4 linked regions of the Sus scrofa genome follow. The protein of the gene in region 2 interacts with the protein of the main gene of each other region in a pairwise test. Links are inferred from orthologs where the notes say so. Each region holds a gene or a part of one and is shown on either strand. Other genes may lie near its edges. The genes, in order: FHL3, RHEBL1, TXNL4A and PRKAB2.

Region 1 (6,228 bases), on a different chromosome or scaffold from region 2:
TTCACATTGGAGGAGGTGGGGGTGGGGAGCTCGGAATGGAGGGCTAGGAACTGGGGCAGAAGGGACTGGGAACCCCACTTCCCTAACACTCTGTACTCCCCAAGCTCCTGCGGCAGAGGCAGCTGTGCGGATGACCTCATCCCACAAACATGCTTTGTTCCTGAGAAAATGGAAAGTGTCTGAGGTTTGGTGGGGGGCTGGGTGTCTGCAGCAACAGCTCTCAGGGCCCCCCTTGCCTGACTCCCTACCTCTGAGGGGGCCCGATTGGAGAGATGTCTTCAGTGGCTCCCACTCTCTCATGCTTCACTCCCCCAGCCGCAAACTCTTTGCGAAGCCGGGGAGAAGCTGTCTCTCCCAGAGGCAGGGGGAGGGAAATAATGACCCAGGGGATGGAAAGATTCTGGGGCTTTGCCAGTTGCTGCCAGGAGTGACGCCCGGGCAGAAGATGGCAGGAGGCACACCCCATAATCTCCAGTTCCCCTCTCCCTCCCCGAGCATCTCATTTCCCTTTTTTCTTCCCTGTTGCTGGCAAAACCTGACATCTGGCCATCTGTGTTGCCACAGCTGCTGCAGATGTTGCAGGCCAAGGCTGCCCAGGCTGGTGTGATCAGAGACCCAGCAGGAGTTGGAGGGGGGTGAGGGCAGAGGGTCCAGCTGGGGAAGCTTGGCTGTGTCCAGCTTGCAGGATTTCCTTCCTGCATTACCTTGGCCGAGCCTCTGAAGCCCTTGTTGCTGGCTTCTCCTGGGAGGGGTGGCCCAATGCGACTTCTCCCATCAGCCTCCTCCACCTCCACCATTCATTGGCCCAGCATCCTTCTTACATTCCACTGTTTCCTGGATCAGGAGGCGGGTGCAAACAGCCCATTCTCATCCCTAAGCTCCGCACTGCAGAGCTCTGGGTATAACCCTAGAGTTCCCTCCTGGGAGTCAGGAGAGCGTGACCCAGTGCTGTTCATATGGGATAGGGTGGGGTGGCTCCCTGCCCCCTACTCTTGCCCCCCTTGGGGACAGTAGGCACAGTGGAAGCTAAACAGGCTGAATACAGGGACAGGAAATGAGTCACTGACCCAGGAAAAGCCCCCTCCCCCCAGATCTGCCAGGGCCCAGATAAGAAAAGAACTTCTGCTTCCTGATTTTTTTACTGACCCCCTCTCACCCCTAATGCTAAATACAGAAATAAACTTGCAGGACCCCAGAACACCCATTACCCATCGCCACCTTCATTTCCTATGCCTCGTCTCTTGCTCCTTTTTTAGTGCAATGGGCTTCGCCCCAGCCCCTCTGGATGACTCGGTCCCACTTTGTGTCCCTCCTAGGGCTCCATCACAGCCACCATGAGCGAGACCTTTGACTGTGCAAAATGCAGCGAGTCCCTGTACGGGCGCAAATACATTCAGACGGACAACGGCCCCTACTGTGTGCCCTGCTATGACAACACCTTTGCCAACACGTGCGCTGAGTGCCAGCAGCTTATCGGGCATGACTCAAGGGTAAGGACTGGACCACGCAGGGCAGGGAGCAGGTGGAGGTGGGCCGGAGGGGACAAAGGTGCCAGTCTCCGTGCCGGGCTCCCCACAGGAGCTGTTTTACGAGGATCGCCACTTCCACGAGGGCTGTTTCCGCTGCTGCCGCTGCCAGCGCTCCCTCGCCGACGAGCCCTTCACCTGCCAGGATAGCGAGCTGCTCTGTAACGACTGCTACTGCAGCGCCTTCTCCTCTCAGTGCTCCGCCTGCGGAGAGACCGTCATGCCTGGTACGTTCCTGGGGGCTCGTGGTGCATGGGACTGGCAGGCCCATCCGATACATACTTGGAGGCTTGGTAAAGCCCTTCACATGCAGCACGTTCCTGAAAATCTATTGTGTCCATAGGCTCTCGGGAGCTTGGCACTCACGGGAACTGACACGCTTGATACACATCCGGGGTCTTAGCATGTATGAAGACTTGCATGTTGGCACATATAGGAGCTTCGAGTTTGCTGAGACTGTCTTGCTTGGTGCCTTGGAGCTTGGCATGGGCAAAGACAGATAGATACAGAGACAGATAGATACAGGGCTTACTGTGTTTGGCGATCCGCATGGCCAATGTAATATGAGGATTTAGAACGCATGGAGATTGGCATGATTCGAATATGCAGAGGCTTATTACCTACAGAATCTATCATGTCCAGGCCTTTAGAACTTTGTGTGGGCAGAGTCTTGCTTGCCTGGTATTCGGTGTCTTTGTGTGTGTGTGTGCTCACACCATCAGGTCTGGTGTGTAAGGCTTTAACATAAACTGAGTCATCGCACCTGAGACCTGGAGGCCTGGCGTGTGCTGAGATCATCATATCTGGTACATATGGGGACTTCGAATATGCCAAACCCTCAGGCCCCCTAGTTTGTGGGGGCCTAGCATGTGCGGTGTTGGAACCAGGTTACCAAGTGTGGTACAGGTAGTGGGGATCCTGCCGCAAATGCATGGACACCACCCTGTAGGCTGTGGGAGTGGCAGGGACTCTCCTTGGGGGGAGCAGAGGGTGGCACTCAGGAGCTTAGGACACAGCCTCTGAGTGGAACCCCTGTTCCCCACAGGGTCCCGGAAGCTGGAGTACGGAGGCCAGACGTGGCATGAGCACTGCTTCCTGTGCAGCGGCTGTGAGCAGCCGCTGGGCTCCTGTTCCTTTGTGCCCGACAAGGGTGCTCACTACTGCGTGCCCTGCTATGAGAACAAGTTCGCGCCTCGCTGCGCCCGCTGCAGCAAGGTGGGGGCTGGGCCAGTGGGGTGGGGGCGCTGATCTCCACTGCACTCAGGGGTGGGGGTGATCAAGGCTCTGTTGTCCTGGCGTGGGAATTCCCCACCCCTCTGCTGACGGATGCTGCCCCCCACAGACGCTGACACAGGGTGGCGTGACGTACCGTGACCAACCCTGGCATCGAGAATGCCTGGTCTGCACAGGGTGCCAGACGCCCCTGGCAGGGCAGCAGTTCACCTCCCGGGACGATGATCCTTATTGTGTGGCCTGTTTTGGAGAACTCTTTGCACCCAAGTGCAGCAGCTGCAAGCGCCCCATCACAGGTGGGACACAGGGTCAGAGAATGGAGGGGGTGGTGGGAGGCTAGGGAATAGGACCTGGTATTGGGTGAGGCCAAGGGACAGGCCCACCCTCCAGATTGCAGAGCTAAACTCCAGCCTCCCTCCAGGACTCGGCGGAGGCAAGTATGTGTCCTTTGAAGACCGCCACTGGCACCACAGCTGCTTCTCCTGTGCCCGCTGCTCCACCTCCCTGGTGGGTCAAGGCTTCGTGCCGGATGGAGACCAAGTGCTGTGCCAGGGTTGCAGCCAGGCAGGGCCCTGAGCCAGGGCTCCTGGGCCCAGGCCCTCCCATACCAGGGCTCCAGGACTAAGGCTCCTCTTCCAGACCACCTCTGGGTCCCAGCCCCGCCCCAAATGGGGTTCCCCCTAGGCTCCAGGATTCAGCCTCCCCACTCCAACATCCCCAATCTGGTACTCCAGGCTTAATGGAGCCTCCATCATTTAAATCCCCCCCAAACCAGGACCCCAGAACTCAGTCTATATGGGTGACTGAAAAGTCCTCAGAAGTGGACCCTCCCCACCCTCATCCCACCTCTCTCCACAGGGATGGGGCTTTCTGGGCAACAGATGAGAGGTTCAGTGCTTAGGGGGGGTCCTAGGGTACAGTTTTGCCCAGCCCGTGTTGTCAAGTGTTTTCTCGTTTCAGTTCAGCTCTGTTTTGCCCAGAGATGGGCAGAGGGGTGGGATTGGCTCACCCCACCATTCAGATTCTGCAATAAAGCAGTATGAAGAAGCCAAGGCCTCTGTGTGTTTGTCTGGGGGTGGAGGGACTAGAAAGGTTTCTTTGCACAGCAGGGACTCCGAAGCCCTTCCAGACCTCGGTTCAGGGCACGGGCGCGGCGCGGGGGCGGAGCGCGGCGGGGGGAGCTGCCAGGCGGGGTGGGAAGTCTCTCCCAAGAAAGGGGATTCCGGCTGCCTTGCCGCTCCTGTCCCTCTCAGACTTAGCCTGCTTCCCTCCTGCTGGTAAAGGGCTTTTTCCTCCGGGTGGGGAAGGGAGGGGCTTAGGGGAGGTTCCCGACGGGAGCAGAAGGGAGGCGGGGGGCGTCGGGTTCCCCGTATAGTACTAATCGCCCCCTCCCTTAACAGCCTTTCTCAAATCCCGCAGAACACCCGGCGCGGATCCCCAGTCTGGGTACAGACCCAAAACCCCCTTCCCCCTCTTCCCAAGGATTAGCGGAGGCGGCCCGGGATCCGCTCGCGGCCGCACGTTTTTTGCCAAAAAAGGCAAGGATGCAGCTGCACGCGCCGCGGGAACATCTGGATCCGATTCCCGGCATGAATGGGTCATGGCCCCGCCCCCCCGTGATTCAAGGGCGGGGGCGGGAAGGAGCGAGGGGGGTTGTCCCCCAAAATGGGGAGATGGGGCGGAGCGCTGCTCCCCTCACCCGGCGTCTAACACCCCTGCCCCAGCGCTTCGGCGGCCTGTGGTCTGGGCTCCGCGGTCCAGACTGTCGGAGCCCGACTCGTGCGCATTGGCGGCGGGCGCGGGCTGAGGCGCTCACGTCCCGCCCGCAGCCTCCCGGGTGGGGGCCCCCAGCGCCGGGCGGGCGGACCCTTGGCGCCCTGTGGGGGAGGGGCCCTCCTGTCCGACAGGACCGCGTGATTATATGTATCTCAAATGAAATCCTCCCAGAAATCCTACGCGGCGGGCGTTTTTCCATTTCACAGAGGAGTCTCCAGTTGTCAGTTCCCCAGTCACCTAGGTAGATCCGGGATTCTAATCCGTTCCACACTTCCTCCGGGCACAATTCGAATCCTAAACTTTCCGAAGCTGTGGTTGATGGACATTTTCAACAAGCCTTTACAAATGCCCGCCATGTCTGCTTATAATTAATAATCACACGTTGATATATTGGTCTCTTTCTTCCATCTGCCTCTAGGAGGACTGGGCTCACGCCTGCCTTGGTCACCTCTCTCACCTCTCGTCTCTCAGCGCCCAGCACTCACTACATGCTCAGTAAATACTTGCTGAGGAAGTGTAGTCCAAGCATAGAAAACAGCTAGTGCAAAGCCCTGGCGCCGTGAAAAACCATACGGTGTCCGTTGGGGAAGCGGCAAGTAATTTCATTTGGAGGAAGTGCCAAGAGACTAAAATGGCAGGCAGAGGCCAGGTCAAGAAAAGCCAGACGCCAAGTTAAACAGAACTCACCCTGCGGGTAAAGCAGCCAGTGGAAATGTTTAAGCAGGGCGGTGAGATGATCACTCCGCTGCAGGCTGCAGCGTGAATAATTGATTGGAGCGGCAAGATAATCAGGCTGCTTAGGAGGCCAGTGCAGCGGTCCAGGTGAGCGATAACTGAGGCAGGTGGCAGCAGGAGTGGAAAAGACAGGACTTGGTGACTTATTTGAAGGAATGGGGAAGGAGAAGGTTTTAGTGGAAGGAAGGCATCAGGTAAATGGTGTTGCTTAGGTGGTCCACCCACCTAAGAGAAAAGAGATGCACAGGTACAATGTGATATTGATTTCAAGAAAAACATTTTTCAGATTTAACATCTCAGAAACCCAGACACAGCATATAATCAACCGTGTGACATGATTTAATTAACAATTTTTTCTTTCTTAGTGGAATGTCAAATAATGGTGGGGTTAACATTCGATAGCATTTCACGTTGGAGGAAATACGGTAGATCCCAAGCTTTATCCCCACTCCCCCACTCCACCTCTTCCTTTCCCAGAAAGATACGCACACAGTCTTTGCAATCCAGAACAGGAATTTTTGGGGTCCCCCTCCTTTTTGAGGGCCGCTGTATAATGGAGGTTCCCAGGCTAGGAGTGGAATCGGAGCTGTGGCTGCACCGCAGCCATAGTCACGCTGGATCTGAACAACACGAGAGAGGCCAGGGATTGAACCTGGGCCCTCACAGATACTAGTTTGTTGGTTAACCATTGAGCCAGGAGGGGAACTCCCCTCAAGGGAAATTTTTTTACCTTCTTCCTAGGAAAAGATTCCTAGGTTTTTCCAGGAAAACGAAAGCTCTAGAGAGTAGTTGTGCCCGGGGCGGGGGGGGGGGGGGGGGGGGGGGGGGGGGAAGGGGGGCACTCTCTCTAAGGTTGAGGTCTTGCTTAAATTTCAGACATCATATAATCCTCTCAAGACCCCATGAGCAGGCAGGACAAAAGTCATTATCTTTATGTTGTTTTTAAAACTAATAAACA
Region 2 (7,710 bases):
AACCTGCATCACCATCATCATGGATACTAGACAGGTTCATTACCACTGAGCCACAATGGCAACTCCCCAATCTGGACATTTTTAGGCATTAGATGGTTCTATAGTTTTAGAAAGCCTGTCCTCCAACACCATCAAACTCCTACATACGCACCTCATCAGGACCTTCCAGAAGAAATAACTTCTGTGTGCTGCTGTATGACTAAATCTCACTTTCCACATCTGTAAGAGAAAGGTGATAATAGCTACCCATTTACTCCAGTCTCAGGCACAAATGTTACCTCCTCATGCTTCCTAGGATATTGCATAAAATAAGAGGAGGATCACACCCCCAAGTTGCTCTCTATCCCAATAAGGTCTTGTTTATTTTTTCTCATTGCAGTTATTACTTTTTAAAATTGTAACTCAGGAGTTCCCGTCATGGCGCAGTGGTTAACGAATCCGACTAGGAACCATGATGTTGCGGGTTCGGTCCCTGCCCTTGCTCAGTGGGTTAATGATCCGGCGTTGCCGTGAGCTGTGGTGTAGATTGCAGACGTGGCTTGGATCCTGCGTTGCTGTGGCTCTGGCGTAGGCTGGTGGCCACAGCTCTGATTAGACCCCTAGCCTGGGAACCTCCATATGCCGAGGGAGCGGCCAAAGAAATAGCAAAAAGACAAAAAAAAAAATAAATAAATAAAATAAAATTGTAACTCATTAATTGCTTACTTGTAGATTGTTAGTCTTCTCCCAAAAGAATGCTTGTTCCTTGTGAGCAAACACTTTGTTTGTGTTGTTCACCGCTCTATTCTAAACACTTGGAAGGGTGCCTGGGATGTGGTGGTTTTTTGATAAATATTTGTGGATAAATGAAAGAATAATGCAGTTAGCCTTTATCGCTCTCCTTCCTCTGGAATTTAACAAATTTATTTCCATCTGAGCATCATAGTAATGATGGATTCCTCTGTCTCATCCTTCTTTTTTTAATTTTTTGGTCTTTTTAGGGTCACACCCTTGGCATATGGAGGTTCCCAGGCTAGGGGTCTAATCGGAGATGTAGCTGCTGGCCTGCACCACAACCACAGCAACACCAAATCCAAGCCATGTCTGTGACCTACACCACAGCTTACAGCAATGCCAAATCCTTAACCCACTGATTGAGACCAGGGATCAAACCTGCGTCTTCATGGATACTAGATTCATTTCCACTGAACCACGATGGGAACTCCTGTCTCATCCTTCTGATCCTTTTTTTTCCCCCAAGCAAAGGCGTACAAAATTCCCAGGCCAGGCACTGAATCTGAGCAGGAGCCTTTAACTCACTGTGTCAGGCCAGTATTGAACCTGATTCTTGGTGTTGCGGCGACAAGGCAAATCTGATTGTGCCACAGCAGGAACTCTGGGTGCAGCCAGATTCTTAACCTACTGTGCCATAGGGGGAACTCCTCTTCTCTCTGAATCTTTTGCTAGCTTGTTCCTTACTATCATTCAGTTCAGACCTCAGCTTAAGTGGGGCATCCTTTGAGAGGAAGTGTCACTGATCTAAACTGGTCTTTTCTTATCACAGTTTTTTTTTTTTTCTTTTTTCTTTTTTTGGCTGTGCCTGCACACACGCACTTTCCTGGGCACACACGCACTAACCCTAACCCTAACCCTAACCCTAACCCTAACCCTAACCCTAACCCTAAACAGACCTCACACTGTTTATTATGGCACTTTTTTTCTTTTTTCTTTTTTAGGGCCTCACCTGTGGCATATTGAAGTTCCCAGGGTAGGGGTCAAATCAGCTATAGCTGCAGGCTTGTGCTACAGCTGCAGCGATACAGTATGGGATCCTAGCCGCAGGTGTGAACTACAGCCAGCTCAACAACACCGGATCCTTAACCCATTGAGTGAGGCCAGGGATCGAACCCTCTTCGTTGTGTTTACTAGCCGGGTTTGTTTCCACTGAGTCACAAGGGAAGCTTCCTAGCGTTTACTCGTTCATGTTTCTTTCTTCCCAATTAGATTTTAAGCTTCATGAGACCTTATCTGTCATATTCATCACTGTAAGTGTAATGCCTAAAACATATTGAATACGCTTAATGAATATTTGCTGAATAAATAAGTACGTGGCTTATGACAGCGAAACCCAGAGGACTTGGCCACAAATTCTAAAAATTTTCCCAGGAATAAGAATTGCAGTTCTGGGACTTCCCGTCATGGCTCAGAGGAAAGGAATCTGACTAGTATCCATGAGGACGCAGGTTCGATCCCTGGCCCCGCTTACTTGTTTAAGGATCCAACATTGCGGTGAAGTGTGGTGTAGGTCGCAGAGGTGTCTCGGATCCGGCGTTGCTGTGGCTGTGGCGTAGGCCAGCGGACACAGCTCCGATTCAACCCCTAGCCTGGGAATTTCCATATGCCTCTGGTGCAGCCCTGAAAAGACCAAAAAAAAAAAAAAAAAAAAATTGCTGTTCTGAAGTTAGATCCTGGAGGACTGTGGAAACCTGACAATATGATATCTGAGGCTGAAGGCTGGGGAAGTGGAGGTAATGTATTGCAACTTGGCCTTTTCTTCCCCTACCCAAGGACCCTGGCACCTTGCAAAAGGGAAGCCTAGAATCGTTTGACCAGAAATTCCAGCCTGGCCACATGGGTATTTTCCATCCATGATATTTTGCCGTCACTTCTGCCAGGTTGCAAAAGCGCAAACATCTCTAGGACCCCGGGTTCCTTTCTGTTTCTTTATGAATGAACCGGGTCTAGACTGCGCCTGCGCAGCTCGCTGTTCTCCCGCTCCACGTGAGGCCCACCCTTCCCTCCTGCTACGGCCCCGCCCTTATCTTTTCTAATGGACCAATAGCGAGCGGCCTGGGGGGCGGAGCCCGGGGCGGCGCGGCAGAGTAGTTCACCGGTCGCCCGGCTCCCTAGCCTTAGTCTTGCTGTGTTGTGATCACGTGGCCAACTCCGGGCGCGGCGCTTGTTTTGGTTTCCCTCTAGCTTGCCTTTGGCAGCTCGGGGTGAGCGACTTTCCTGTGCCGGTTGTCGCGCCTGCTTGTACTTCGGCTTTCTTTTCTTGGGGCTCTCTCAGCCCGAAGTTCGGCAAGCCCCTGGGGGCCGGCTCCTGCCATGCCTTTAGTTCGCTACAGGAAGGTGGTCATCCTCGGATACCGCTCTGTAGGTGAGTCTCCGCCTGGGAGAGAGCATGGATGCACCGTGGCTTTGTGGCCAGAGGAGGCGCGCTGCCGCGGGAACGCGCCCCAGGCAAGGAATGGTGGCATCCTTAGAACCAGCTTGTAGAGCGATGACTGAAAGAGGTTGCTGAGAGAAAGGCTGGCCTGTTGGTAGTGTGTGGAAGGCTGCGGGAAGCGGGAGCTTGTAAGAGTTAACGTGGGCTTGACTGTTGGAACGCCCGAGCGGTCCTCAGCGTTACTCTGGGAGGTGGAGGTGGGTTTAGGATTCGATGACGGGGACGCATTCTGGGTGGGGCAAGTCTAGGTGTCCAGTGCAGGGCAGACAGGAACCTAGGGAATCCCGGATCTTTCCAGGAGTGAGGTGGGGAAAGGCGGCGGGAAAGGCTTCCTGCGGCGCTCCTGTATGCATGCATACGGTGGTTAAGGTGCAGAGAACCAGGGCGAAAAGAGGGTGAGGGTAGGCTAAGGGAAGGCAGTGCATGGGGGCATTTACAGACCAGGATGCTAATCTGGGGTCCCCTTTAGTCCAGGGTCACACCCCTAAAGGACAGAGGATGTGAATGTCGATGGGTGATTTGGATACAACTACCTCTGCTTTCCACAGGGAAGACATCTTTAGCACATCAATTTGTGGAGGGCGAGTTCCTAGAAGATTATGATCCTACTGTGGAGAATAGTGAGTAGACTTCTCCCCTAGGGACAGGGTAGGGAGAGCTTGGGTGCCCCACCCAATTCCACCGTTTGGGATTTTCCTTGTGCCAAGGGGATGATTTAATTAGACATTAAATCTAACCTCTTCTCTAGCAATCTTGTTCTATGAGTGGAGCTAGAGTATGCATTTTCCAAGAGTCCAGGATGGTGTTTGTGTAGACAATAAGAAGCCTAATGTTGTCTTTCCAATTTCCTGGACAGCTCCCTGGCCCTGACCCATCTAAGTCACCCCCAGGGTTAAGAATGTATTAGGGCACGTTTCTAGCCCTACAAGGCACCTCACGGTTAAGTTTTCTTTTCTTTTCAGCTTACAGCAAGATAGTCACTCTTGGCAAAGATGAGTTTCACCTACACCTGGTGGACACAGCAGGGCAGGTACCAGTTTGGGGTAGGGTATCCTTTATTTATTTATTTTTTTCAGCCACAGTGTGAAGCTGCTTAATGTGGGATCTCAGTTCCCAGACCAGGGACTAAACCCAGGCTGCAGCAGTGAAAGCACTGCGTCCTAACCACTAGGTCACCAGGCAACTCCCTGGGCTAGGGTATCTAAATGTTGCAGTTCAGTCCTGGGAGATGAAGTCTGGCACCCTCTGTGGCTCATCCCAAAAGCATTTTAGCAGCTAGTAGCGTGCAGCGCTGATTTGGGCAACTCTGTAAATACTTGCTGAATAGAAGTGACTGGAGTAGGGTGTGCCACAGAGAGTCCCCAGGGTGCAGCCCACCAACCTTGGCCATCTGAGTGTTGTAGATCTGGGTACTGATGTTTCTATTTCTTGTCAGGATGAGTACAGCATTCTGCCCTATTCATTCATCATTGGGGTCCATGGTTATGTGCTTGTATATTCTGTCACCTCTCTGCATAGGTAAGTGACCAAGGTTGTGAGCGGGGTACTTGGGAGGATCTGAGGGCTGGTCCAGAATAAGGTTATAGCTTCGCTTCTTGTGTTTAAAGCTTCCAAGTCATTGAGAGTCTGTACCAAAAGCTACATGAAGGCCATGGGAAAACCCGGTATGTGACACTGGGGGCTAAAGATATAGTGTAAACGTGAATGGAGAAAGCAGACAGAGGGAGGTTGAGGATCCAAATTAAGGAGGAAGCCAGGACATAGATTCTCTCTGGTCTGATGGGGAATTATCGAGCTCTGATGGGAAGGAGGTTGGGGTCCATGGGAGACAGAGGGGATCCCGTAGTAACTGCTGTTTCCTCACAGGCTGCCAGTGGTGCTGGTGGGAAACAAGGCAGATCTCTCTCCAGACAGGTACGGAAATCTCTGTAGCTTCAGGCGAAGGAAAGTGAGCTGAACTAGGAATGAGTCAGGTCCTTGTCCTGGCTCTGCCATTGACTTGAACCAGTCATTTTACCTCTTTTCACTTCTAACTTGAAGGCTAAAACAAAATCACCCTTTTATGGCAAAAGCTATAGTTTTATATTTTAAGCCTCAGTCCTAGGCTCCTTTGTTTTTCTACATTTTCTCCTCTTCCAACCCTGTTCCCAAACCTTGGAATGAGATAGATCAGAGGAAATCTGATTTCTACTGAGATATTGCAAAGATCATGGGGGACATTGCTCTCCTTCATTTTCATGTCCCAAATTTGCTTCCAGGGAGGTCCAGGCTGTTGAAGGGAAGAAGCTGGCAGAGTCCTGGGGTGCAACATTTATGGAGTCATCTGCTCGAGATAATCAGGTGCTGGGCCTGAAGATTAGGAAGGTGGTGGGGGGGGTAGCAGTGTTTTTCTTATGGCATCGCTTGGTGGTGGGGATGGTGGGGGAGTATAGGGTATTCACCTCAGAGTACTGGCAGTGAACTAACCAACTTTTTTGCCCTGAATTCTTATCCCTTGCAGCTGACTCAAGGCATCTTCACCAAAGTCATCCAGGAGATTGCCCGGGTGGAGAATTCATATGGCCAAGAGCACCGTTGCCATCTCATGTGAACCCTTGAGCATGGGGTAGCTGCCTTGATTCTGCTCCTGGCATGTGCCAGGCTCCAGCAGAGGTTTGGGGGGCAGGGCCTCAGGACCTCACGGGTTTGGTTACCAGCTGTGTCCCTGGCCCTCTGGGCACACAGTGTGGTACCCTCATGTTTGCACACTTGCCCAGGCTCCCGTGGCCTGGCTGTCAATGTTTACAAAGGGGCAAGGATGTCTCACGGGCAGTGTCCTCTAGCCCTCTGTCTTTGCTAAGTAAATGAATTGTTATAACCTGTGGGATTGGGATTTGAGTCCTGGGCATTGTTTATTTAGGACCCAGTTGCCTAGGTAGGTTTTGGATGTTGGCTGGGTGAGGGGAGCTGGGGACTCCTGAAGTGGAGGTGACTCTCTGGAGTGACAATGTATATATGCAAATAAACTGAGAAATCCTTTTGTAGTTGACTTCTCTGTATCTGGGGAGAGTTCAATGCCAACAGCTCCTTTTCCAAGGAGTTGATGGCTATGGCCTTTGGTAGCGAATCAGGGCAAATGTTTTCTTCCTGCCTTGTTACCATTCCTTACCTCTTCCTCACTCATTCAGGACCATAACCCTAGGATCTCCTCCTCACCTTTCCCACTTTCCTTTTCTACTCCTTTCGCCCATACAGGTAACCTGTTGGCTGCCACTCCCTCCCAAATTTGTAGACGCTCACCATCCCCTTAACTACAGAAACACCACCCTCTAGTGGCCAGCTGCCACATGCTGACCTAGCTTCCCTCCTGGGGTCTTGGCATTTGCTGGAACTCAGAGAGGATAGGGTTTGGGCTGGAGGAAGAAAGACCCTAGTTCCTAATCATGTAAGAACAGTGAAGTAGTGAAAAGGCAGGGACTAAAGTGTTGTGAAGATTTTAGCTTTCTAAAGAGAGTCGAGTAAAGTAAGAAATAATGCCCTGGGAGTTTCCTGATGGCCCAGTGGGTTCAGAACCAAGCACAGTCACTGCTGTGGCTCAGGCCACTGCTGTGCTACAGGTTTGATCCTGGCCCTGGAATTTCCAAACACCCTGGAGCATGGCCAGAAAAAAAGAAAGAAAAGAGAAAGGAAGAAAAAAATGCCCCGATGTATATCAATCCCCACTCCCCACCCTCGTCTTCAATGCCTTTCATTAAAATGGATATTCTTGGAGTGCTTTTGTGGTGCAGCAGTTAGGGATCTGGAGTTGTCACTGCCGTGGTATGGTTCGATCCCTGGCCTGGGAACTTCCACATGCCTCAGACCCATAAAAGGGATGCTCTTTGCTCCTTTCATACCTTTCAAACATTTGAAGTTGTGCTACCTTTTTTAGGTGTCAAAGGCTAAGTTTGGTCCTACCCGGCCTCTACTCCCTACCCCCCCTGGTAGCCCTTGGGCCTAATTGGCCTAATACCTTCTCCAGGGATTTATAAGGATACTTGAATGGTAGCCTTCACAGGAAGGGCATACCTTTCCTGGCAACTTGAAGAACTTGAGGTACTCTGTCAATGCACTTAGTTGGGGAAAATGGACAAAATGTAGGTGGGGTTTTTAGCTGTGACCTTGTTATTGCCTGGCTCCAGACCAGCCAGCTAGTCTTACAGTTGGGGGTGATGGTATGTCACGCTGGTTTTCAGAAGTCCTGCCAGCTGCTTTTGGAGCTCTCATCCGGAATCTAAAAAGAAATAAGGGCTGCTGGAAGGAGCATATTCCAAAGAGCAATGTCTCAGAGGTTTAGGATTCTCTTTATGGTTGTCAGGTTGTCATCACCCTCTCTCCTTACACTAAAATGACGTCCTTTTGCACATGTGACCTGGAATTCTCATTATGGGTACCTACACTTCTGCTGTTATTTCCATAAGGTCTGAGATAGAATAACACATATCTGAGGTTTTCTAGAAGTGTATCAAACAATCTCAAGGCCT
Region 3 (7,727 bases), on a different chromosome or scaffold from region 2:
ACGCCTGATCCGAGAGGTGTCTGTGACCTACTTGACTCCACAGCTCACAGAAACACCGGATCCTTAACCCACTGATCGAGGCCAGGGATTGAACCCATATACTCATGGATTCTAGTTGGGTTTGTTAACCACTGAGCTACCAAGGGAACTCCTATAAAGTCTTATGGATACTAAATTTTTTTTTTTTTTTTTGGTCTTAGGGCGACACCCGTGGCATATGGAAGTTCCCATGCAAGGGGTTGAATCGGAGCTACAGCTGCCAGCCTATACCACAGTCACAGCAGCTTAGGACCCAAGCCTTGTCTGTGACCTACATCACAGCTCATGGCAATGCTGGATCCTTAACCCATAGAGAGAGGCCAGGGATCAAACTTGTGTCCTCATGGATATTAGTCAGGTTCGTTTCCACTGAGCCACAACAGGAACTCCAAAACTACAAAATCTTAGAAGAAAAAAGGAGTAAATATTCGTGACCCTGAATTAGGTAATGGTTTCTTAGGTATGACACCAAAAGCACAAATAGCAGAAGGAAAAATAAATACACTGGATTTAATCAAAATTTAAAAGTTTTATGCTGGAATTCCTGTCATGGCACAGCAGAAATGAATCCAACTAGGAACCATGAGGTTGCTGGTTCGATCCCGGGACTTGCTCAGTGGGTTAAGGATCCGGCGTTGCTGTGAGCTGTGGTGTAGGTCACAGATGCAGCTCATATCTGGTGTGGCTGTGGCTCTGGTGTAGGCTGGTGGCTACAGCTCCGATTAGACCCCTAGCCTGGGAACCTCCATATGCCACGGGTGCAGCCCTAAAAAGACAAAAAAAAAAAAGACCAAAAATAAATAAATAAATAAAATTTAAAAAAAAGTTTTTGCTGTAAATGATACCAATAAAAATAAAAATAAAAAGTCATGGAGTTCCCTCATAACTCAGAGGGTTAAGGGTCCAGTGTTGTCACTGCCCTGGTTACAGCTGTGGCATGCGTTAGGTCCCTCGCCTGGGACCTTCCGCATGACTCTGGCAAGGCTGGAAAATAAATAAATAAATAAAGTAAAAAATCAGTCAGAAAATGGGAAGAATTTTTTTTGGTGTTTTGAGGGCCGAACCTTTGGCACATGGATGTTTCCAGGCTAGGGGTTGAATTGGCGCTGTAGCCGCCAGCCTATGCCACAGCCGCAGCCACGTGGGATCTGAGTCATGTCTGCGACCTACACCACAGCTCATGGCAATGCCAGACCCTTAACCCACTGAGCAAGGCCAGGGATGGAATTTCGTCCTTATGGTTACTATTCAGATTCGTTTCCACTGAGCCACGACAGGAACTCCCAGGAGGAAATATTTTCATATCATACATATGATGGGGGGTTTATATCCAGAATATGTAAAGGACTCTTATAACGCAACAATAAAAAGACAATATCCATTTTTAAGTGACCAAAGGAGATGAATAGACATTTCTCCAAATGGCCAATTAAAAATGATGCTCTATATCATTAACCATTAGGAACATGCAAGTCAAAACCTTAAGAAGACATCACTTCACATCCACCAGGATATCACTCTGTATAAAAAAAAAAAATGCACACAAAAACAGGAATAGGCCAAGACATGGAGAAATCCAACCCCACCTTGCTGTTGGAAATGCAAAATGGCATATCTAGCCACTTTTGAAAATGGTTTGGCAATTCCTCAAGACATTAAACATAATTACCATGTGATTCAGCCATTCTACTTGCATATACCCAAGAGAAATGAAAACTTAAATCCATACAAAACCTTACACATGAATGTTTATAGCTGCATTACTTATAAAGCACAAAAAGTGGAAACAACCTTAATGTCAATTAACTGATGGACAGGGAGTTCCCTTGTGACTCAGTGGGTTAATAACCTGATATAGTGTCTGAGAGGATGCAGGTTCAATCCCTGGCCTTGCTCAGTGGGTTAAGGATCCCACCTTGCAGCAAGCTGCAGTATAGGTCAGAGATGTGGCTCAAACCCAGTGTTGCCATGGCTGTGGGTAGGCTGGCATCTGCAGTTCTGATTTGACACCTAGCCTGGAAACTTCCACATGCTGCAGGTACAGCCCTAAAAGAAAAAAAAAAAAAAATTAACTGATGGATAGTTAAATGCAGTGTATCCGAACAACAGAACATTAATCAGCAATAAAAAGGAACTAAGTACAGTTGACCTTTCCACAATGACCCTATCCTCAGTCAAAAACCCATGCATAATTTTACAGTTGGTCCTTCAGTTTTCTATCTGCAGATTTAACCAACTGCCATCCTGAAGTACACGTGGTACACGTGTGAGTTAGAACCCCTGTTGCTCAAGGGTCAACTGTACTGATTCGGCTACGATATGGGTGAACCTTGACAACACTATGCGAAATGAAAGAAGTCATGAAAGACTATATATTGATGTTTCCACTTACCTGAAATATCTAGGCTGGCTCGTGGTTGCCAGAAGCCAAAGGGATGGGAGGGAAATGGGACTGCTAAAGAGTACAGGATTAGGGGTGATGAAAATTTCCTATAATCAGATTGGAGTGTTGGTTCCACAACTCTGTGGAAAACCATCTTTTTTTTTTTTTTGTCTTTTTCCCATTTCTTGGGCCGTTGCCGCCGCATATGGAGGTTCCCAGGCTAGGGGTCGAATCAGAGCTGTAGCCGCCAGCCTACGCCAGAGCCACAGCAACGCGGGATCTGAGCCGCGTCTGCAACCTACACCACAGCTCATGGCAACGCCAGATCCTTAACCCACTGACCAAGGCCAGGGATCGAAGCCGCAACCTCATGGTTCCTAGTCGGATTCGTTAACCACTGAGCCACGACGGGAACTCCTGGAAAATTATCTTATTCTAAATCGGTGAAACCACTTTACAGTGTGTAACACCTCAACAAAGCTTTTTAACAAAAGAAGTATCTGCAGGGATGATGGTTGCAGAATGAAGTGAATGCACCCAAAGCCACTGAACTAGATGTGGCTAAAACAGTAACTTTTATATGTATTATACCACGACCGCCAAAACGATTAACTTGAGGGACTTTGTGTGGGAGTGGACAATACCACATCATCCTCTGTCCGCTCCCACACTGCAGGTCCCGGTGGCGCCCCATGACATGCGATTCAACTTTGTCCTCCCTACTGAAGAGGTGGAAGCCCAGAGCCAATCCGACCCGGGCAAAGGCGCGCACGTACACGTCAGCGAGCACGCACTCCGTGAGCGCGCACGTACACGCCTGCGCGCGCGCACTCGTTGGAGCATTCCGGCTCCTGGAGGGACTGCTGCGCGGGAGATCACAGGGAAGGCAGAGGTTGGTGCGGGACCCTCGGTTGGTTGCTGGGGTGGAGGGGCGGATGTGCGACCCCGGGGGTTCCTTCGCTCTGGGTTCTGGGCCACGGGGCGAGGCGTCCCAGTGTTGGGGTCGGGGCCCGGGGAGGAGGTGGACGCGGGCCTGGCCGTCCTGGCTGCCCCGTGGGGTGAGGCCCCTGTGGGGTGGGCCTCTGTGGGTTGGGCTCCTGTGGGTTAGGGGTCCCTGTGGGTGAGGCCAATGGGGTGAGTGAGGGTCCGGGTGAGTGAGGGTCCCTTCCGGTGAGGCCTTCGTGGAGTAGGGTCCCCGTTGGGGAGGTGTCCTCGTGGGTGGGGCCCAGCGGGTGCGCTGCGGTGGAGCTGGGAGGAGCTGGTTGGTGGGTTCCCCCTGCAGACCCGTCGGCCCCGAGATGTCGTACATGCTCCCGCACCTGCACAATGGCTGGCAGGTGGATCAGGCCATCCTCTCGGAAGAAGACCGCGTGGTGGTAATTCGATTTGGACACGACTGGGATCCTACTTGCATGAAGATGGACGAGGTTCTGTACAGCATAGCTGAGAAGGTAACGCAGCCCTGCCCCGCCCCGCCCCGCGGTGGGTTTGCTCGGTTCGTCGTGTTGGATTGCTTTTGTTTGAAGTGCACGCTGTACTCATTCTTCGCCTGCAACACGTTCGTTCACCAAAGACAAGAAGCGAGGTTCACAGACAGTCTTATCCTGGATGTGAGGTTGTGCTCCCTGAAATAGGTCAGAATAGTTTGTCTTTTTGTGGGAGGAGTTACCATAGATTTTCAAACTTCTAAAACGTTCATGATCACTCTCCCTAGGTAAGTTAATAATTCCTATTGATAGAGTGTTTTCTAAAGTGCACATCTGTAGTGCCAAGTAAAACACATTTGCAGACTTTATCTTAGCTTAGTTTTTTTTTTTTTTTTTGTACTGTGTTTATCTGTTTTATTTATAAAGCAGAACATTTATTTTACCAGCATGGTAAATTCCATTCTTTTTCTTTCGGTAGGTTTTCCTTTTTTCTTTACCCCATCATGCTCTTTGTAAGTGACTTGGTTTATAGCTTAAAGTGACTCTTTTTTTTTTTTTTTTTTTTTTTGCTTTTTAGGGCTGCACCTGCCATATTTTTTTTTAGGGTGCATGTGCAGCATATGGAAGTTCCCAGGCTAGGGGTTGAATCAGAGCTACAGCTGCTGGCCTACACCACAACCACAGCAACACAGGATCCCAGCCGCATCTGCAACCTACACCACAGCTCAGGGCAACACTAGAACCTTAACCCTCTGAGCAAGGCCAGGAATAGAACCCACATCCTCATGGATACTAGTAGGATTTGTTTCCACTGAGCCATGACAGGAACTCCGGTTTTTCCTAATTCTTATCGGTAGTACACAGGGTTGTTTGTAGCTTTTGTTTGTTAACAATAAAATGCAATTGTAGGGCACTGTTGAATAACCAGGGTTTAATTCTTTTTCTGGAGTTATCTCATGGGAATTGTTTTTTTGGCCCTGTTGGAGGCATGTTTCCCTGGGCCAGGGATCAAATCCAAGTAACATCACTAACAATGCTGAATTCTTAACCATTAGGTCATCAGGGAACTCCTTCTCAAGGGGATTTTAAGATAACTTTGATTTGGATTTTTGCAATTGTAGCAATAGGGCAAAAGGCAAATATATTATGGCGCTAATAAAATGTTGAACTTACAGTAATTGAGAGGGCATTCATTTTAATGAAGAGTAAAAGTAAGGGAAATGTTGGATGGAATAGGGTGTACTAATACAGGTTCTGTTAAAATAATGACTGAGGAGTAATGATTATGTATAAGGGTATACTTTTGTATTAGGAAAGGAAAAACTGTCTGACCTGCCATCAGTAATTTTCACTACCTCCCATTTGGTAGGAGAGGCAGAGTGACATAAGGGTGGTAGCACTGAGAACATTAGGGACTGTCCTTCTGTGAGTGTTAGTATATAACTTGAAATACTTACCAAAGTGCATCTCAGAGATTCTGATTGTACAGGTCTGGGGTAAAGTCCAGAGATAGCTTATTTTTTTTTTTTTTAACTTTTATTTATTTATTTGGCCAGGCTCCTAGCTTGTAGAAGTTCCCAGGCCAGGGATTTAAAGAAGTTCCCCAGGAATTCTTTTTTTTTCTCTTTGGGTGCATTCACAGCATGTAGAAGTTCCCTGGCCGGGAATCGAACCCTCACCACAGCAACAACCCAAGCCTTTGCAAAGATCCCTAACTCTCTGCACCACAAGACAACTCCTTCCCCTGGGAAATCTGATGTGACTTTGAGAATCCCCTTGATGAGGTTGGGATCAGTAGGAGTGCTGTGACCATAGCCGCTCCACCTTCTTCCTTCTCAAGACATTGAGGGAGCATGAGAAGGTGCCTGAGGAAATGGAGGGGGGCAGGGTTCTCACACGGCAGTCTTCCCAGGAGTTCCCATCGTGGCTCAGTGGTAAGGAACCCAACTAGTATCCATGAGGATGGGGGTTCAGTCCCTGGCCTTGCTCCATGGATTAAGATCTGGTGTTGCTTTCAGTTGTGTGGGTCGCAGATGCAGCTCAGATCTGGCATTGCTATGACTGTGGTGTAGGCCGGCAGCTCAGATCTGGTGTTGTTATGACCGTGGTGTAGGCTGGCAGCTATAGCTCCGATTGGACCCCTAGCCTGGGAGCTTCCATATGCCTTGGGTGTGGCCCTAAAAAGATAAACAGCAACAACGCAGGGGTCAGAGTTAAGAGTGAGGTGCCGGGGGTCGTTTGTGTATGGCAGTGGTCAAGGGCAGGTACTGCAGAGTCCAATGAAGTTGAATGAAGACACTTCCACTAAGTGGTGATGCTGCCTTGTTGACTCTGAAGTAACTTAGGGTGTGTGTGATGGACTCTGCCTTAAAGGTGGCAGGTGAGCACCAGGTGAGGATGATGAGAGGTGTAAGGGTTGTTTACTCTTCAAATCTGAGCAAAACTCAGAAGAAACTATTAGCTAGGAGACAAGTTTTGAATCAGTGTGAGTTTTAGGGACTTATACCAGAATTGGTCTTTTCTTTCTTTCTTTTCTTTTTTTTTTTTTTTTCTGTCTTTTTGCCTTTTCCAGGACTGCTCCTTCAGCATATGGAGGTTCCCAGGCTAGGGGTTGAATCGGAGCTGCCGGCCTACACCAGAGCCACAGCAATACGGGATCCGAGCCACGTCTGTGACCTACACCACAGCTCACGGCAACGCCGGATCCTTAACCCACTGAGCAAGGCCAGGGATCGAACCTGAAACCTCATGGTTCCTAGTCAGATTCGTTAACCACTGCGCCACTATGGGAACTCCGGAATTGGTCTTTTCTAATTCCTTTATATCATTCAAAGACCACATGGCTGTAGTACAGCAGATATGTGCTTTATGGTATTGAACCTGTTGATAAGAACATTTAATTGAGCTCACTTCAAGTACTTTTCTTTGGTTGGTTGGTTATTTATTTATTTTCTTTCTAGGGCCCCACCTGGAGCACATGGAAGTTCCCAGGCTAGAGGTTAAATTGGAGCTGTAGCTTCCGGCCTACACCATAGCCACAGCAACCCCAGATCCGAGCCAGATCTGCAACCTCCACCACAGCTTGCACCACTAAGTGAGGCCAAGGATTGAACCCACATCCTCATGGATACTAGTTGGGTTCTTAACCCACTGAACCACAACAGGAACTCCTCTTTGGTCTTTTAAAGTTACTCCTTTTCTTTTGCCCAAAACTTGGATTTGTATTTTAATAAACCTTCAATACTAGATTATAGTTATTCAAAATGTAAACTTGAAATGCATTATAAGACTATTAATATTAATGTTTTATTTTTCTTCTTAATGGCAAAATATGAATTTATAGTTCTGGAAGCCCTATTGGGGGAAACTCAGGAATTTTTGAAATTTAAGGTTTTAGTATGAAGAACAATTTAACTGTCTATTTAAACATCTCCCTCTGCAGAAATGGCAGATAGTGGGGGATCCTCCTCACCTTGTTACGAGCCCTGTTTGGAAACCCCAGCTGTATTAAAGTGAGTAAAAGTTCCAATGTAGAGGCTGGACTTGATTATACATTTTCTCCTACAATGTGGTTTGTTGACTTGCTGCTTCGACAGCACCAACTCCTATCTCAGGCTGGATTAGTTTTGAGCTGTACCGAAAACACAGATATGTTAGAGATTTTATAGATGTGTTGAGTTTGATAGAGTAACAGTTAAAATAAAATTTCCTGTTTAGTGGGTGATTTTATGCACAGCTTCACAGAGAGACTATTTTTTGTACTTGGCATTTTGCACGAAAACACGTCACATCTCACTGTTAACCTAAGTCCCATTATATGTAAGAATAAGTGAGATGTTTCATTTTTGTATGTTTAAAAAGCCCACAGAAATAGAGTT
Region 4 (7,012 bases), on a different chromosome or scaffold from region 2:
TCAAATTCTAAACTGAAAATACTAAATCATACAAGTAAATGATAGAAACAGTGGCAGTGGGGCCATCCTCTTCAGTGGACTAGTTACTGGTTCTCAATTAGAATAGGCTGGAATTTGTTTAAACACTTCATGGAAAATTTGAAACACTGTCCATGTTTCAAAGCAGGGAGAACAGTGTGATGAACTCCTGTATAGTTGTCATCCAGTTTAAACAATGATCAAATCATGAATGAATTTGTACCACCTATATACCCCCATCCACTCTACCCTCACCAATTATTTTGAAGCAAATTCCAGACTATCATATCAAATATTACTTTATTAGTATTTTAGGATACATTTCTAGAGATGAGGTTTCTTTATTTTTAACATAATCACAGTGTTATTGTCTGGAAAGCTTTTTAAGAATAGACTCCCAGACCCTATATTTGAATCAGAATCTGAGGCATTTGTAATTCTTAGGCATATGTAAAAATTTCTCTAATTCTAATGCAGCCTGTCAAGCAAGAACTCATTGCTTTGAGAAAATGGAGATCAAGATTTTTTAGGAGCTCCCGTCATGGTTCAGTGGTTAACGAATCTGACTAGGAACCATGAGGTTGCAGGTTCGATCCCTGGCCTTGCTCAGTGGGTTAGGATCTGGTGTTGCTGTGACCTGTGGTGTAGGTCAAAGATGCGGCTCAGATCCCACGTTGCTGTGGCTGTGGTGTAGGCCGGTGGCTACAGCTCTGATCAGACCCTTAGTCTGGGAACCTCCAAATGCTGCGGGTGGGGCCCTAGAAAAGACAAAAAAAAAAAAAAAAAAAAAAATTCTCTAAGCCATTTCCTTATATAACGTGGAAGTCCCTTCTTTTTCTCTGTTTACTTTGGATTTATGCTGCTACTGGTGTCTCGTAGTGTAGTTTTGAGGAATATGGAGAGACAGTACAGAAGGTAGACTACCTCTGCCATTTTTAATGTAAAGCCCATATGAACAAACTAGTTTTTTTTTTTTTTAACTCATTTTATCTGGTAATATTTTGGTTTAATACCATACAGTCTTATTTACCTATTTACCAAAGTCATTCAAGCCAATCTAAAGTGAGAGTCAGCAAATATTTTCTGTAAAAGGCCAGATAGTAAATATTTTAGCCTCTGCAGACCATACTATCTCTGTCACAAATGCTCAGTTCTGCCATTCTAGCATGAAAGCGGCTATAGAAAATGAGTAAGTATGGAGTTCCTGCTGTGGCAGAGCAGGTTAAGGATCCTGTTTTGTCTCTGCAGTGGCTCAGGTTGCTAAGGTATGAATTTGATTCCTGGCCTGGCGCAGCCACTACTGTGGCGTAGATCACAGCTGTGGCTTGGATTTGATCCTTGGCCCAAGAACTTCTATGTGCCATGGGTGTGACCAAAAAAAAAAAGAGAGAGAGAAATAAAATAAGTGAATGAGTATGACTATTTTCCAATAAAACTTTATTTATAAAAGCATCTGGCTCACTGGTCATAGTTTGCTAATTCCTGTACTAAAGGATGGTAGTTCCTTTAGGCTCCAGAATCTTTTTTTTTTTTTTTAATTTATTATTATTTTATTTTTTGTCTTTTTGCCTTTTCTAGGGTGGCTCCTTTGGCATATGGAGGTTCCCAGGCTAGGGGTTGAATCAGAGCAGTAGCCACAGCAACGCGGGATCCGAGCCGCATCTGCGACCTATATCACAGCTCGCAGCAACGCCGGATCCTTAACCCACTGAGCAAGGCCAGGGATCGAACCCACAACCTCATGGTTCCTAGCCGGATTCGTTAACCACTGAGCCACGACGGGAACTCCATGGCTCCAGAATCTTTATCACTACTCCTAAAACAACTCGTATAAACCTGGCAGGGGTAAGCAAGTAAGATTTCGTAACCCTTTCTCAAAATTTAAGAAGCCATGGAGGTTCCCAGGCTAGGGATCTAATCGGAGCTGTAGCTGCTGGCCTATACTACAGCCACAGCAACTCCAGATCCAAGCCTCCTCTGCGACCTACACTGCAGCTCATGGCAATGCCAGATCCTTAACCCACTGAGCGAGACCAGGGATTGAACCCGCCAACCTCATGGTTCCTAGTTGGATTCATTTCTGCTGCGCCACAACAGGAACTCCTGATTTTTATATTTTTAATGTCCCTTCGTAACCTATTAACTAAAATGGAGATTATGAATTACATATGAATTTTAGTATCTCTAATTTCCATTACAGCTTATAACTGAGAGCGTCTCATATTTGCATATGAAAAATACATGGCTAACTTTATTTTTGTAGAACCATTCTTTATTTTCATATTTCTTCTCATAAGTGATACTTAGAAGCATATCGTAATTGTCTGCCTATGAGTTCATCTGGTAACAAGAAGCAAGGTTTTTTGTTTTTCAAGGGAAATCCTAAGGTTCTGAAAGGATGAGTGATTTATGCAGAGTCAGAAGTTGGGCTGTTATGTGGGCAGCTTTTGAGTATAAGCCATTTGAACCACTTTGGTCCTAGATGAGTTCTTTTTCTATAGTTTGTTCAGAATCTGATTTAGTTGCTAATATCAAGGCTTATTAATACTTAGCAGAAACCTAGCACCCCTCTCCTCCCTAGAGAGGAGAATGACTTTTTCAGAATTCCTGGGTCACAATTTAGGGATGACCTAATCCTTCTTACAGCTCCCTGGGGACAAAGAGTTTGTATCATGGCAGCAGGATTTGGAGGACTCCGTAAAACCCACACAGCAGGCTCGGCCCACTGTTATCCGCTGGTCTGAAGGAGGCAAGGAGGTCTTCATCTCTGGGTCCTTCAACAATTGGAGCACCAAGATTCCACTGATTAAGAGGTGAAGACAAGTGTCTTGGTTGAGTCTGTAGAGTCCAGGAGTAGAGACCTGATTTCCTTTCTCAAGAGAGACCTGACTGGAATACTCCTTTCCATCTGCTACAGACTCTCTAGAATATTTTCTGTGACCAATAACTATATCTATGACATTTTTTTGTTTTTAACCTCATAGCAACGAGTCAGAGATGTTTTACCACTTAGAATGCCATTGCCTCAGAAGGACTTATAACAGCTTTGTGGGTACATTCTTTAGGATTGTGTTAATACTAGTCCTTTCTGTGCTTGTGGGAAGTCTTCTGTAACTAGCTGAGTCCTATTGCTCTGACTTCTGCACTAAAACAAAACACATTGTAAAGGTCTAGATAGTAATGTTATTTGTTGCTGGCAGAGCAATAATGAATTATGTACTGGTTATGGCCCTTTGTATGTAGGTAATTTCCTAGAAAATGCTCACCAAAATACACAAGGGGTAGGGCATTTCTTATCCTGAACCTATTTGCTGTCTTATTTACACTTGTGAGGGATCTATTCAGCTGAAGCAAAATAGTTGTGCTAAGGTGGAACATTCAAGGGGATTAACATCTTTACTGTACTTTTCCAGATATTAGTTAAGAACTAAAGTTACTGGGAGGGGCTAGCAAGTACATGCAAAAGGTGATAGAGAAAAAGGAGAATGGGTTTATAAATTATTTTTTACTCCAGAGGGTGCAATCACTTAGGAATGTGGGAGATCACTGGTATGATAGTGATTACCTCATGATTTTTACATTTATTTTCAGTCTTCTAATAGGAGCTTGGCCAACTAATTTTCTGCTTTCTTCTGTAGCCATAATGACTTTGTTGCCATCCTAGACCTTCCTGAGGGAGAGCATCAGTATAAGTTCTTTGTGGATGGACAGTGGGTTCATGATCCATCAGAGGTAAGGCCTTGATCTCTGAGGGTAACCACTGACTTAACAGTCTGTCCCCTTTTGCTGTTACTCCTTTTGGTGTCAAACAACATTGCTGTCAGGACTGATGGGCTCCTACACGGAGGATTTCTTTCTTGATAAAAGATGGTGCTGCCAAGTAGGATCATTTTTTAAAAGAAAAGAGTTGAACAGAAGAGATAGATTTGAAATGGGGATTCATGTATTTTTTTTCCATTCACTGTTTCAGCCTGTGGTTACCAGTCAGCTTGGCACAATTAACAATTTGATCCATGTCAAGAAATCTGATTTTGAGGTGTTTGATGCTTTAAAGCTAGATTCAATGGAAAGCTCAGAGACATCTTGTCGAGGTAATTTTGTAGTATTTGCTCTTTTTTGATGTGTTCTTCTTATCATGCATGTTTCTTTCCAAGAGTGGTTTTTATTTTTTCATTTTCTCCACAGAAATTTCTGAATTATATGTGTATGTTCCTCCTATAACCATTTAGGTCCCCTTCTCTGAGAGAAAAAAATCTGTCTAGTGTATTTGATTTCAAACTTTTTAACCAGGATCTGTAGTAAGTTTACATTATAACCCCATACACACAAACACACACATAACGTAACCGTAAGTCTTGCAGTATGTTTGCCTTTATTACATGTAAAGCACCCTGTTTTCTATTTTATCCTTCATTTACAAACCATTAATAGGCTATAGTCTACACCTGTGCTGTATTAGGGCTGCACCTGTGGCATATGGAGATTCTTAAACTAGGGGTCGAATTGGAGCTATAGCCACTGGCCTATGCCACAGCCACAACAACGCCAGATCCAAGCCGCATCTGTGACCTACACCATAGCTCACAGCAATGCCAGATTCTTAACCCAGTGAGCAAAGCCAGGGATCAAACCTGTGTTCTCATGGATTCGTCTCCACTGAGCCATGATGGGAACTCCTGTAGTTTTAAAAGCTCTTTCTAGTAATATTTCACGTTTTTCATTGACCTTTAACAGTGTCAACTAGCAGGGGCTAGTTGAGTTTGGTTTGCCTTCTTTAACTGCCTCAGCCTAATCCTGCCAGTTTGATAGCTCATTTGGCAGTTCTATAATTTTATAAGGCCCTATACTTAAGTCAGTCTGTAGAAAAAAAGCCTCACATTTCTGAGAAAAAAGTATCTATACATGTATGTGTAACTGGGTCACCATGCTGTACAGTAGAAAATTGACCAAACATTGTAAACCAGCTATAATGAAAAAAATAAAAAATCATTATATTAAAAAAAAAAACTCATATTTCTATTGTGTGTATGTTAACTGAAGTTTTTAAAGTTTTTGGTTAAAAAAAAAAATTTCCTTGTTAGAGGAAAGACCTATATACTTTTGTTTCTCACAATATTTTTTCCAAGCCCCTCATCTCTACTTACATTGGCTATAGCACCAGAAAAATAATTTGCTATCCATATTCACAGTTATCGATTTTGTAACTTTACAGTAAAGGCTCTGATTGTCTAAAGAAGTGTGTTCCAAGGAAGCACACTTCTTCCTTGTGAACGCAAAGTCTGCCTCTGCTACTAATTAGCTTTGCCATCACAGATGAGACCTTCAATGCTTTTGGTTCTCAGTTGCTTATCAGTAAAATCAGAGGCTTAGACTTTCTGTGATTCTCAGCTGAGACACAATACCTGAACTGGGCATATTAGAATCTCAGGGCACAAGGGTGGCTTGTGCAGGTTCTAAAAGTATAATTAATAATATAATAATTATCTGTTTGGGAGTTTTGTGGTGGTGCAGCAGCTTAAGGATCCAGTATTGTCTCTGCTGTGGTGTGGGATCAATCCCTGGCCCTGGAACTTCTGCATGTCTTGGGCGTGGCCACAAGATAATAATAATAATTATATAAAGCTGTGACCTTTGCTGCAGCTGTGGCAACACCAGTTGCTTTAACCCACTGTGCCACAGTAGGAACTCCAACTTTATGATTCTTGTCTTTTACCATATTTAGTATTAGCTGCCATGTATTGACAGTTTTTTCTTGCATTTTTTGTAGCTTCCCATCTTTCCCTTATATTTGTATAAATATCTTCCAGACCTTTCCAGCTCACCCCCAGGGCCTTATGGTCAAGAAATGTATGTGTTTCGATCAGAGGAGAGATTCAAATCCCCACCCATCCTGCCTCCCCACCTTCTCCAAGTTATTCTTAACAAGGACACTAATATATCTGTGAGTATCCTAAGAGTATTATTGGGGCATCTGGGGGTCACTAGGGCCATTTGAGCCAAAGTTATGTAATTCTAGAAGTTGGGATTATTAAAAAGTTATGTTGAGTATAAATCATATACTTATCAGTAGTATTGCAGGTTCCTTTTTCCAGGGCTAAGTTGTGACTTTTCCAGGTACTTATATCAAAATTTATACTTGTCAAAAAAAAAAAAAAAAAAAAAAAAAGAGTTCCCGTCGTGGCGCAGTGGTTAACGAATCCGACTAGGAACCATGAGGTTGCGGGTTCGGTCCCTGCCCTTGCTCAGTGGATTAACGATCCGGCGTTGCCGTGAGCTGTGGTGTAGGTTGCAGATGCGGCTCGGATCTCGCGTTGCTGTGGCTCTGGCGTAGGCTGGTGGCTACAGCTCCGATTCAACCCCTGGCCTGGGAACCTCCATATGCCGCGGGAGCGGCCCAAGAAATAGCAACAACAACAAAAGACAAAAGACAAAAAGACAAAAAAAAAAAAAAAATTTATACTTGTCTTCTGATCCTAATATATCAGGCCCAGAGCTATGGATTGATAGAACTAGTTTTTAACATTTTTAATTCCAACATAAGATGAGAAGTACTTATCATTTGCAGTTATCCAAAAGAAGTATATTTTGCATATAATTTACATCCCTAGTTAACTCACTTGATTCCCACTAAGATTATTTTTGCCTCTTAATACAAATCTTCTTTGTGTGTTGTGGGCAAGGTTTTTGCTTTAGTCCTATTAAAGAGTATGAATAGATGCTGAGGCTTAGGGTTTCTGCCCCAGGCTCAGAATTTTCCGAATATTGTGTAATGGGAATGTATTGATATATACGAGGATGAGTGCTTTATTTATTTATTTATTTATTTTTGCTTTTTAGGGCCACACCCATGACATATGGAATTGCCCAGCCTATGGGTTGAATTGGAGCTACAGCTGCTGGCCGACGCCACAGCCACAGCCACACCAGATCTGAGCCATGTCTGCAGCCTACACCACAGCTCATGGCAACACTGGATCTTTAACACACTGAGCAA

The links.
Region 1: the proteins of RHEBL1 (region 2) and FHL3 interact in binary tests that used the Homo sapiens proteins (3 or more experiments, as listed by UniProt). The two-hybrid records come from large-scale screens. The link is inferred for Sus scrofa from reciprocal best matches to the Homo sapiens genes RHEBL1 and FHL3.
Region 3: the proteins of RHEBL1 (region 2) and TXNL4A interact in a two-hybrid assay, tested with the Homo sapiens proteins (2 studies listed by BioGRID and IntAct). The link is inferred for Sus scrofa from reciprocal best matches to the Homo sapiens genes RHEBL1 and TXNL4A.
Region 4: the proteins of RHEBL1 (region 2) and PRKAB2 interact in binary tests that used the Homo sapiens proteins (3 or more experiments, as listed by UniProt). The link is inferred for Sus scrofa from reciprocal best matches to the Homo sapiens genes RHEBL1 and PRKAB2.

What each region holds. Positions count from the first base shown.
Region 1 is NC_010448.4:93,978,215-93,984,442, reverse strand, and holds the end of FHL3 (four and a half LIM domains protein 3), read left to right. Parts: intron 1-1,316; coding exon 1,317-1,490; intron 1,491-1,578; coding exon 1,579-1,753; intron 1,754-2,571; coding exon 2,572-2,741; intron 2,742-2,868; coding exon 2,869-3,055; intron 3,056-3,180; coding exon 3,181-3,335; 3' UTR 3,336-3,806; downstream 3,807-6,228. UniProt on the Homo sapiens protein: Recruited by SOX15 to FOXK1 promoters where it acts as a transcriptional coactivator of FOXK1.
Region 2 is NC_010447.5:15,092,919-15,100,628, reverse strand, and holds RHEBL1 (GTPase RhebL1), read left to right. Parts: upstream 1-2,843; 5' UTR 2,844-3,087; coding exon 3,088-3,139; intron 3,140-3,756; coding exon 3,757-3,828; intron 3,829-4,170; coding exon 4,171-4,238; intron 4,239-4,643; coding exon 4,644-4,726; intron 4,727-4,815; coding exon 4,816-4,872; intron 4,873-5,074; coding exon 5,075-5,122; intron 5,123-5,466; coding exon 5,467-5,548; intron 5,549-5,708; coding exon 5,709-5,798; 3' UTR 5,799-6,231; downstream 6,232-7,710.
Region 3 is NC_010448.4:127,986,603-127,994,329, reverse strand, and holds the start of TXNL4A (thioredoxin-like protein 4A), read left to right. Parts: upstream 1-3,217; 5' UTR 3,218-3,314; intron 3,315-3,704; 5' UTR 3,705-3,720; coding exon 3,721-3,873; intron 3,874-7,291; exon of another isoform or gene 7,292-7,361; intron 7,362-7,727. UniProt on the Homo sapiens protein: Plays a role in pre-mRNA splicing as component of the U5 snRNP and U4/U6-U5 tri-snRNP complexes that are involved in spliceosome assembly, and as component of the precatalytic spliceosome (spliceosome B complex).
Region 4 is NC_010446.5:100,380,388-100,387,399, forward strand, and holds part of PRKAB2 (5'-AMP-activated protein kinase subunit beta-2), read left to right. Parts: intron 1-2,664; coding exon 2,665-2,831; intron 2,832-3,656; coding exon 3,657-3,750; intron 3,751-3,988; coding exon 3,989-4,109; intron 4,110-5,825; coding exon 5,826-5,959; intron 5,960-7,012. UniProt on the Homo sapiens protein: Non-catalytic subunit of AMP-activated protein kinase (AMPK), an energy sensor protein kinase that plays a key role in regulating cellular energy metabolism.